Linked DNA regions of Drosophila melanogaster. The protein of the gene in region 1 interacts with the protein of each later gene in a pairwise test. Each region holds a gene or a part of one and is shown on either strand. Other genes may lie near its edges. The genes, in order: CG6688, Sr-CI and CG10939.

Evidence for each region.
Region 2: the proteins of CG6688 (region 1) and Sr-CI interact in a two-hybrid assay, tested with the Drosophila melanogaster proteins (one large-scale study listed by BioGRID).
Region 3: the proteins of CG6688 (region 1) and CG10939 interact in a two-hybrid assay, tested with the Drosophila melanogaster proteins (one large-scale study listed by BioGRID).

What each region holds. Positions count from the first base shown.
Region 1 is NT_033777.3:23,010,407-23,014,162, reverse strand, and holds the start of CG6688 (uncharacterized protein), read right to left. Parts: upstream 1,752-3,756; 5' UTR 1,650-1,751; coding exon 1,491-1,649; intron 1,422-1,490; coding exon 1,353-1,421; intron 248-1,352; coding exon 125-247; intron 13-124; coding exon 1-12.
Region 2 is NT_033779.5:4,119,722-4,123,477, forward strand, and holds the start of Sr-CI (scavenger receptor class C, type I), read left to right. Parts: upstream 1-1,980; 5' UTR 1,981-2,038; coding exon 2,039-2,258; intron 2,259-2,324; coding exon 2,325-2,862; intron 2,863-2,987; coding exon 2,988-3,756. Other genes in the region: Sr-CIII (scavenger receptor class C, type III), read left to right, coding at 642-876, 934-1,474, 1,535-1,721.
Region 3 is NT_033778.4:17,392,612-17,396,367, forward strand, and holds the start of CG10939 (uncharacterized protein), read left to right. Parts: upstream 1-1,981; 5' UTR 1,982-2,415; intron 2,416-3,756.

The DNA.
Region 1 (3,756 bases):
GCAGCAGATGCTCTATGGATTTTTGAAAAAAATATTGTGTTAGCGCGATTTTAATGGGGAACGGATAACTGAGTGTGTTTGATGGTTTAAAGAAGGATTTCAGGACTGCAATGAAAATACTCACATTAGTATCACAGTCCTTATCACATTCACTGTTCCAACAGAGAATTGTGACGCAGTCCTTTTGACTCTTCACCATTTTGGCGATTTCAGACACTCTCAAGCCTAAAACATCGTTGCCATTTACCTGGAAATAAAATATTATAGAATTTTATAGAAAATGTCTGGAAATGTTGTTTATTTATTTTAGGAAATAAGTGCCATACAGAAAGCAAGTACCAAGTATCTAAATATTTGGATTTCCACGAGCTACCAAAGAAAACAAATGAATACCACAAAATATGGCCAACACAATTACAAATTCGAAAGCACTGCTTGCGGCTGTATCGCACGCACTGCTTGCGGATGTTAACCTTAGCTAGCACTGTTAACTCAATTGGCTGTTATCTGTTATCTGATAACTGATATTTGCTTTGAATATTTACTTCGTGCTAATTAATCTTTGTCATCAACTAGTTGTTTTACTACGTTCGAGTTGTGTCATTAGTTTTAGGGCGGGCTGTGCATTCACCAGCTGTTTCTAGTTCCCCACTCCACATCCAATAAAGTTTCTAAATAAAGTCGATGCCGAGCAATTAAGTTTTACTGCATTGCTATTTTAAGTAAACAATATCCACGAAGAACAACAAATGCGGCTACAATAGCGGCTGCAAAGTCCAGACTTGGATATATGTACGGTCCAACTTCCATAGCTCAAGCTATTCGTAATTTAAAAGACCATAGCGATTTGAATTTGTTTCTAGAAGTGCAAATCATCATATTGGAATGCTTTCCTGAATAGTACTTTTTATCTTAACTTACGATTCACACAAATTTGTAGAACTTATTGACTTGAAAACTCGCAAGTATACATAATTAGCTTTACAACAAAAACTACATTATTTTTCTAGCTGTTAGCTAACAAAAGGAACTTTTTTCTGATTATAAATATATTATAATTTTAATGGGTTCCTCAAACTCTGTTTTCTTCTATCCTAAGTGGAATGCACATAGTTGGGAACCTGAGTAGCAGTCTCAATAAGCTCTTAATAGGTTTACAAAGTAAATCCCCGCGTCGATCTATTGCATTCTTAATTTTGTAACTGGAGTTCAGGCGCAGATTGAGTTACCAATGCAGTTTAGTTACCAATGCAGTTGGTCTGCGCTGTGCATAATCCGCCAGTCCATTGCTGGCTGAGAGCTGAAAGAACTGACAACGGTGGCACCAACCTGTGGCACTAACTTCTACTCACCTCCAGAACGCAATCGCCGGGTTTCAGGCCGCAGAGAGCGGCAGGTGTGCCGGCTGCCACTTCGCAAACCTGTCGGTGTAATGGGTATATGGTAATTAGGAGGGGACGGGATCTCCAAACGATGGCCACTTTTATTACCCAGGGATAGGGATCCCATTTGCTGCGGGTCAGCTGAAATCCGTAGTTCTCCATCGCAGGTGCGGCTCTGGGAATTCTCAGTAGTCGCACGGAGGAGCCATCGCCATGCTGCCCATCTTCATTGGATGTGGAATGAAATCCTCCCGCTGATTTCCTCATTTTCGGGCTAGAAAACTCGCACAGGTGCTCGGATCGTTGTGGGCCAAAATAAAAAGCGGCTAGCGAGAGACGTGTTCAACGTGCGCTCTCAGTTGGCAAACTGTTTTTCGTCTGTCTGTTGATTTTTTTTCGAGCCAGCTGGCTGGCTGGTGTATGTGGCTGGCTGGCTGGCTGGCTGGCTGAAAAGTTGCCGAGCGGCGAGCAGTGAACATGGAGCGCTTTGGGCCGACGCAATCGGCTACGACAAACATTTTGGCCAAGCTCCCCAGCATCACACATTTAACCCCTTCCACAACTTAATGACTTTGGGCCATCTGACGCGGTGTTGTAAGTGCTCGGCGCCAAAATGTGGCTGCGGTTCAAGATCCGAGATTCGGAATTCGAGATCGGAGATCTGAGATCTGAGTTCCGAGATCCAAAGCTGACACCCAGCTGAGATCATGGAAATGAGACTTGTGGAGCTAAGTAAATATTTGAACTTTCGGGCTGGCAGCGGTTTTTGGGTGCGCTATAAAGTTGCATGTCTACGTATTGTGACACCTTCAAATATACCGAATAAATAAACAAATTCTTCAGCGATTAAGTCATTTGATAACCTGGTAAATTAGTTGGTTCGAATGTGCAGGCTGCTACAATTGTGCGGAAGTGAAATCGAGAACATGGCCAAATACAATAGTTTTCATAGAAACCTTCGGCTATTTCTCTTCGCTTTTCATGGAAACCTTCTGCTATTTCTCTTAAATTGAAAACAATAAAGCTGCGCTTATCACTTATACCATGTTTTGTTACTAGAGATTAAAACTATTAAGGTAAATATAGCAAAACAGCCCAAACAAATATAAATAGCCAAAATAAACTGAACAAGACCTGCAAATTAAGTGTTAAATTGTATATTTATACAGTTTGGTTACGGTTTTGGCACAAATCGTAATCAGATAAAATCGCTATTAGCAGTAATGCACACGAAACTTAATCAGTTTAATTCCCATTTGTTGACTTTAAAAGTTTTCCGACTTTGTAATTAAATTTGAAAATAAACAGCACTATTTTTCGGCTTAATTGCGTGTTGGCAGTGTCAAATGGCCAGTGCATTTGCGATTGAGTGGCCAGCAAGTAAACCAAAATATTATTATTCGAAATGCCAAAAGAAATTAAAACAACAACGACGAGTGTGTTGGCACCGCACTAGGGTGTCAAACGGCGATAAACATAAACAATGGGGCCCTAAATAAATAATTGGGTCTAAAACCGGCTCGTCGATTAACCCTAACAATGATAACTGATGGAAATTGGCAGCTGACAAATGGATTTGGTTTGGCATGGCCAAACCATCGACATCCATTTGACTTTCGCTTTTTTGTTGTTTTGTTATCGCCGGTTTAACTGCCATTGAGGCGGTAATTTGAGTTTGGCGCTGCTCTGGTCGTCTAAAACATTGGCCAAATAGCATTGAAATTGGTAATTTCATTTAAATTTGCGCCCAGCAAAACTGACCCTGGGCGGCATTGTGGTGCGTGGTGTGTGTGTGTGTAATTTGTTTTTGGCTTTTCAATTTGCCAGTTCAATTAGATTTGGCCAAATTTATGTGGCACGCAGAAGCGTTCGGCAGCCAAAAGCCGTCAGCAGTGTCAAAATTAGAGAATACTTACCCAGGCAATAACATCGAAATTCATGTTTCTCGGAAAGCCATCCACCTGAAAGGTAATTGACTTTTATTAATCGGCCAGCAATTAGGCCGGGCCCAAAGGCAAATGGCCAAATTCAAGTGCAATTCCGCCTCTTCACACTATTGGCTCTCGACTTGTTTGTGGCCAGTAGATGCGGTTTCCAAAAAACAAAATAAAACGATGAAAAGCTCGCTGAAGCCAAGTGCAAAGCTCTGCCCACAGGTGGCGCTCGCTTTAAGCCAAGTTAGTAGGTCTGCTGGTCAGCTGTGAAGAAGTCGAGCCTCAGTTTCTTCGCAACTCGCATTCGGTTAAGTGAGCATGCGCCGCAAGTTCCGCTGGAAAACGCGAAGTGCGAAGCGCCGGCGCCGAAATAAAGTGATTACGATACGATCACAAAGATATCGAAAATCATCTAGCGTGGCCGAGAGTTGTGAAAATTG
Region 2 (3,756 bases), on another chromosome or scaffold:
TCCAGGACCTTCCAACAGATGCCCATTTATTTAAGCTTGCAGGCGACAGGAAGAAGATGCTTCTATTTAGTTCCATCTCCATGGAATCCAATTCCGACCGGAGATGCGAATAATTGCATTTGAATGGCGTCCCAGGACAAAACGATAAAGCCAGTTTAGTGGTGTTATTTGGGGATGAACTAAACGAATAATTTATCATTCACTGATAATAAGATATCGCCCAAGTTCAACCGATCTACGGATTTCCCATACCTTTTTCGGAACAATACAATTTATCAGCCCTTTTGCAATATCGTGCAGCATTTCTACAAGTATTCAAGTGTACATTTCATTTTATTCAAACTAACATATGGCAAGACCCCACCTACTATTTAGAAACATTTGGAACTTACCGTATCATTTCACATGTTCTGAAAGAAAAGAGAAGTGTTTATTTATTATAAAATAAAAGTGTATAAAGTAAGCAGCGGTTGGTTCAATATTTGTAGAAGTAAATATAATGTGGAAATACGCAAAAAGTAAACGATAAGATTTTTTGAGATTTTTGGTACAAAAAAGTTGATAGCAGATAAGGAAACGTAAAAATTTGTATTCAAAAGCTTTACTCAGTTCAGTCGTTATTTAGCATCCAAATTTATACAATGGCAATGGTTTCTGTAGAAATTTTGTGGGCACTGAGACTATTTATGATATATATGGTGATCCAATCGATTGCCAGTTGTGAGCCCGACATTTTGTTGCGCAACGGAAAAGTTACAGAGTTATCTAGTTGGCTCCTAGGTGATAGCATCAAGTTCGAGTGCAATCCCGGATTTTCTTTGCAGGGAAAGACGTGGCACCTTGGCAATGGAAATATGATGAAGCGTTACTGCGCCAGTGAGTTAAAATGAGTAATAAAACTTAAAATATGTATATATAATGTAAAACTTTCAGAAGCGGGTTGCAATGATATTGAGAAACAAGCCAACGGAACCATTTTGACGGCCACGGATGGCTTAAAGGCGGAAATCGAATGCGATGATGAATTTGTTCTTAGCGGAAATTCCTTTACCTACTGCAATGGAACGAAGTGGATCATCAAGCTGGGAACCTGTCAGTTGGCCAACAGCGTCGGTGACCATTCCTGTGACTTCGAACGTGAGGATATGTGCGGTTGGAGGGCCAGCAAAGCCATACCCCAACCATGGAAGCGAATAAGTGCTGCGGCAGATTTTCTCAAAGAAAAGTGCCTGCAACAGGATCACACATTCCAGAGCGACGTCGAAGGACACTTTATTCGCTTGCAATCGCAGGTACACGCTTCCAGAACCTACCACTTCATATCGCCGATCTATCCCAGGAACCTCACGGTGGGCCATTCCTTATGGTTTCAGTTCGAACTCTTTATGTTTGGTTCGGAAGTAAGAAACCTGACGATCTCCGTGAAACCCTCTTCAATGGCGGTCGAGGATATGTGGAATAGTTTCAGAAATATGTAAGCGATCTATCCAAATCACTTTAAAATGCTTTAAATACATCTTATGTTATTCTCCAGCTGCACCAAACTCACCGTGTCTGGCGATCAAGGCCCAAACTGGAAAAGCCAGTCCATCTCCATCGACGAGATGGAGTCGGACTTCCAGGTGGTCTTCACAGTCGTGGACCCAAGTTCTCTCCATGGAGACATTGGTATCGACGATGTAAAATTTATAAAATCTGAAACCAATGAACCACATTCTTAACAAGGACGAGTTGTAAAATCTATTATCATTTTGGGCTTATAAGATTTACCCATAGTATAAGTTTAAAAAACGTTTATAAGTGCAGCGCAAGAAAATAAGACGCGATTTAAATCTATATTTATATATATTTGTATAAAATTAAGAGTGAATTAAGAATGAACAATATAGCGGTTATCTGCTCTTCGACTTCAACCATCTTGTAATTGTATGAGTCCCGCTCTTCGTTGCTCCGAGTGATGTCGAGCTGCAATCGGACTCTCAGTCTTTTGACAGCCTTCGACCGTATCTATACATTAAGTTCGTAATATCTCTGCGGAATGGAATTTTTCTGGACTCTGGCTGTGATTGTGATATATTGTATAGGTCACATTCATGGACGATGTGAAAGATCAATAGATTTGGATAATGGAAGTATAAATTATCGACAGAGAAATGTGGTGAGATTCAGATGCAATCGCGGCTACACTTTGCAGGGAACAGTAATGCAAACTTGCGATCGAGATGGTCGCCTTCGAGGCGAAAAACCATTCTGTGCCAGTAAGAGCCACAAAATCGATATAATCTAATGGTTTTACTGAGTTTCTTGCATTTTTTCAACATAAGGTAGGGGATGTGCGAGGCCCGAGGATCCGGAGAACGGACACGTCGAAAATCTTTCCCTAAGGGCGGATGTCGTGTGCCACGATGGCTATGTCTTGGTCGGTGGTCGCACTGCCTACTGCGATGGAGAAAGATGGAGCACCCAGCTGGGATCGTGTCGAAGGAGCAACCACACAAGAGATCATTCTTGCGATTTCGAGAGCGAGGATCAGTGCGGTTGGGAGGCGGAGACAACCTTCCGACGACCCTGGAAGCGAGTCAGCACGGTATCCGATATTCACTCCCTAAGAACGGGACCCCGCCACGATCACACGTTTAAAAACGAATCCGGTGGTCATTACATGCGCATGGAAACCCAAATGGGGGCTTATGGAAGCTACCATCTGCTATCGCCGATCTATCCCAGATCCCTCACCCTGAAGACCGCCTGCTGCTTTCGATTCCACTACTTCATGTTTGGCGCTGGTGTGGATAATCTGGTGGTGTCCGTTAAACCCGTTTCGATGCCAATGGCAACCATGTGGAATAGGTTCAGAGCCAAGTGAGTTTTGCCGGAGCGGAAGAGGTTTTAGATTAAAGGTCGCAGGCAATGAGATAAAAGTGGCAAAAAATTCCGAAAGCATGGCAACAATTATACTGATTGCTTCTGTTTCTGTTTTATCTTAGTTGCAGCAAATTTGAGATATCTGGTCAGCAGGGAACCCAGTGGCTAGAGCACACGATCAGCATTGACGAGATGCAAGAGGACTTCCAGGTGATATTCACGGCAACGGATGCAAGATCCCAATTCGGAGATATTGCCATCGATGATGTAAAGCTAATGACAGGCAGTGAGTGTGGCACAAACGGATTTAGCACCACCACAGAACCAACGGCTCCGACAGGCAGCAACGAGCAACCACTGGTCTACGATATGATGAGTTGTTCAGGTCGATGCGGAACATCAATCTCGGCCTCCAATATAACCAACAATGGTATAGTCATGGGATGTGGGTGTAATGACGAGTGCCTTTCGGATGAGACTTGTTGCCTAAACTATTTGGAGGAGTGCACAAAGGAGCTGCTCACCACGACCGAGGATGATATTAGTTCCCTGCCCCCAACGGTCACATCAACAAGCACAAGCACTACGAGGAAGTCAACGACAACAACAACCACAAGCACAACTACTACAAGTACAACAACAACTAAAAGGCCAACCACAACCACAACAACAACAAAGGCCACAACTACAAAGCGAACAACAACCACTAAAAAACCGACAACAACTTCAACAACGCCGAAGCCAACAACAACGACTTCAACCACACCAAAGTCTACAACTTCTACAACGTCTACAACTTCAACAACACCAACGACAACAACTACAATAAATGTGTTTACAACAAAGAAAACAACAATAATGATCCCTACTTCCAGTACCGAAAAGACTACA
Region 3 (3,756 bases), on another chromosome or scaffold:
GATGGCAGTATGCAAAGAACCGAGACAAAGCAAATATATTCGTACATATATGCCAGCTAATGTGTGTGTAATTTTATTTTTATTTGTACAGCAGTGTGCGTGTTTCGTTCGAAAGTTAAATTGAATCGGTTCCGTTGGCTTTCTGGGTTTTTCTGGCCGCCTGTTCGGTTGCTTAAGAAGATTGAACGATTTTTGCACGGTTTGAGTTTTGAAAGTTCATTTGAGTTTTCTGTTTGGGGACAATTTATTTTGATGTGGTGGTGAATTTTTGTACCAGGATTTGATTTTTATAATTTTTATAGAATTTCGCTTAAATCCGAGGTGTCCTCTTTCATTAGGTTTTCAACCTCATTGGAAATGCAATTTAAATCATTTATTACGAAAACCCCTGTAGGATTAAAGAAAACTTTTTTATTGCAGGTTCCCCAAAAGTTTTTGGCAAAATCTCAGCCTTCGCAGCTCTGCATTTGCATCTTCTTTTTCAATTCTTTGTTTTTGTTGATTTCGTTTTTTGTGCATATAAATTTGTTGCCTAATCCGGCGACGTTTTCCCAGGGAGTTGCATTTAAAGCGCCATTCGCTATAAATATTCATGCAAATCGGCAGGGAGCTAAGAAAGTGCCACCCACCAACCTCTAGAGATAAACAGGTGAATCGGCAAACAGAGCAGGTGGCGCCCATCGTTCGGCCTTAATTAAATGTAAAGGCGTTGCGCTTTAAATGCAATTGCCCTGCTCGCTAAGTGGGAACTTATTTGCAATTTCATAATTGCCAGCACTAGTTCTATCTGCACGACTGGCCGCCCTTGCCGTTCCAAGAGTTTGTTGGTCCAACTTTTTCAAAAACTAATTAAAACGATAAGGGCAACCGAGTAGAGCAGCGAAATGTCGCCGCGGAGTACCCAAAAACGCGAGCATGACACTGAAAATAATTCATCTTGTGTTTAAAAACCATCTTTAGAACAGGATTCTGAACTATAAAAATGGTTATTTTTTTAAATATATACGTAAATTTTTTTCATAAATGTTCTAAAATGTTAAATGTTAAAAATACCACCATCAATCATCCCCAATTTTGTTTGTAGTGGAATGTGCCGCTGGAACTTTGACTATTCCATTGCGATGTTTATCCAAAGATCTGCCCAAATTTGCATTAGCACACGGCTTTTGTTTGTCTCCCACACGTGGAGTGAAAAGAGTGTGCCAAGGGGCGATGAAAGTCAATTTACTTGAATGCCCAGGCGGAAATTAAATAAATTCTATGAGCACACGTCAGGTGCGCCAGGCCGAAAATGACAGTTGTCAGCTGTCAAAGCAGGGCCAGAAGTACAGTTGACCACATATCCATAAGCGTCAGCTCAAGGACCTAATATCACTCAATAACAGCGATTCTCATTGCATGGTATTTACCAATGTTCCATTACACTTCATACATTTCGTTTAGAACTGGCTTCTTTCTTGCAACGGACGACAAAACCAATTGGAATTGCACCCAGTGCCTTCTCGTTCATCCCTCTGATTGATTTCCATACAGGTAATGCAGTGGCTTGGAAACATCGTTGGACACTGCTGATAAGAGGACACAATGGGATTAAAAGGGCCCAAAAGTGAAGACAACAAAGTGATGGGTTTTACGGAAATAAAGAGCTTTGAAACAAAGTCATCATACGATAGGCCATAAAGTGGTGTAATTTCGTGGAGTTAAATAAATAATAGCTAATAAATTGCGTTAAGCGTATTGGTTGCACTGCTTAAAACATAAACATTTCAGAACATTCAAAAAGTAGTTTCTTTTAGTTTTCAGATTTACCATTGAAGCCGAAAAATCTCTCGCCCTCGAACTCCCGTGAAACTCACCACAGTGATCTGCGGACTTTTCTACTCTCTTTTCCACCACGCTGGCCCAAAAGTATGCAACACAACACACATAACGATCGGGGCTTACTTCGGCTCTCACCTGCCGCGGACGCTTCAGCAACCGAAATCAGTTACGATTTGCCCGCGAAAGCGTTAACAACGTTTCAACGGATCTTCAGCGTGTGAGATAATATTACATACGTAGAAATAATATCAGGAAGGCAGCAGCAACAGCAGCAAAAACAACGCGAGTAGCCCTCTCTCTGCGCCTCTTTCGCCTGTCAACAGTTATTTTAGCCGATTGTTTTGTGTGACTTTTTCGTGTGCTGTTCGCTTTCGTTTCGTTTAGCTGTTCGGCAACTCCTTCATTTCATTAAAAATAGTAAGGCCTTGTAACAACAACAACAAGAACGACGACGTGTTTATGTGTGTGTATGTGACAGCGTTTGCATACGGAAAAGAGTAGAGAGTGCAACAATAATAACTGCAACAAAAACAGAAAACTGAAAATCAACAGCAACATTTGAAAGGGAATCGTTTCTACTTGTTTGTTTAAGCGGTAAGTCGAAAAATGAAATTTGCAGCCTTGAGACAGTTTTAGAGCCACTGAACTTGAGCGAAATGCGAGCAGAATATCAATTGATCCATTGGAATTACTACGGACAAACGTAACAAAACAACGTGCTAAACATAAATGTGCAAAAATAATTATAAAATCGCATTGAATCACTTGCCATGATTTAACCAAGTTAATAAAAGTCCATTTCATTTGCTGGTCATCGCAATTGAAAGCCATAAAAACTGTATTTTCAATAACTGAAATTAAATAAACAATTTACACACGCAAAGCGCTTTGGGGTGGGAAAGAGAGGACGATTTGGCTGCGGGAGCGAGAGGGAAGAGAAGCTGCAATCGGCCTTAACGATTACACTTAGAAAATTGTTATAATCGGATTTTCAGTTTAAATTTCAATTGATGAAACAACAAGGATTTGATGGAACAAGTCAATATTTTTTAAACTGAATCCCAATTAAGTCCATAGCTATATGTACAAGTATATCTTAAAGATACTGATAAGGGGATTATTTGCATTTGAAATAGTACACCCGCTAACAATAACTTTTTGCTCTCTGCATTAAAGCTGAATCAATAAACTAAATAAGCCAAATTAAAATGGGCTTTTATTGCGTACCGCTAAATGTGTTGCCCTGTTAACTGCTTTTGGCTGCACTAACCGTCGCACCGCCTTACATAATAATTGTTTTGATTTATATTGCCCCCTCTCACTCGCACGCTCTCGCACCATCTCTTTTGGGCGCATTGCATAAGGCCGTTGCGTTTGCAAATGCGACATGCATGCGATTTTGTCTCTTTCTTGTCGCCTATCACTTGGCGGCCTCTCTTTCTAACGCTATTCATAAATCGCTGTTAAGTTTGGCAGGTTTTACTCCCACTTCTTCTTCTTATTTACGACAGCAGACACTCCCCACCTGCAATTCACCTGAAAAAGCCCCGAAATCCCCAATCCCCAAGTGACAACTCTGGTATTCCAGCAATGCCTCAAAGCAGGTTTCTTTAATGGTTATTTTTTCTAGTCTTTTTCTCTGTTTTTGTTTAGACTTTGCTTTTATTTTAGTTTCGAGTCGCTGGTTGTTGTTGCACTAATTCACCGGTTTACTTCTTCTGATTTGCTGGTTGTGCATTTTTGTCGCGTGTATTTCTGGTTTTTTCATAGTTTTTTTCCCCCTCCTCTTTTGTGGGTTTTTCTATGGCACTTGCCACGATTAAGATCCAATCTTCGGCGTTCTGCGCTTGTCACTAGCTATGCTAATTCGATTAAATCGGTATTTAGCGATCGGGTTTTGCATTTATCGCGGCCACAGCCCGACGATTTTTGACA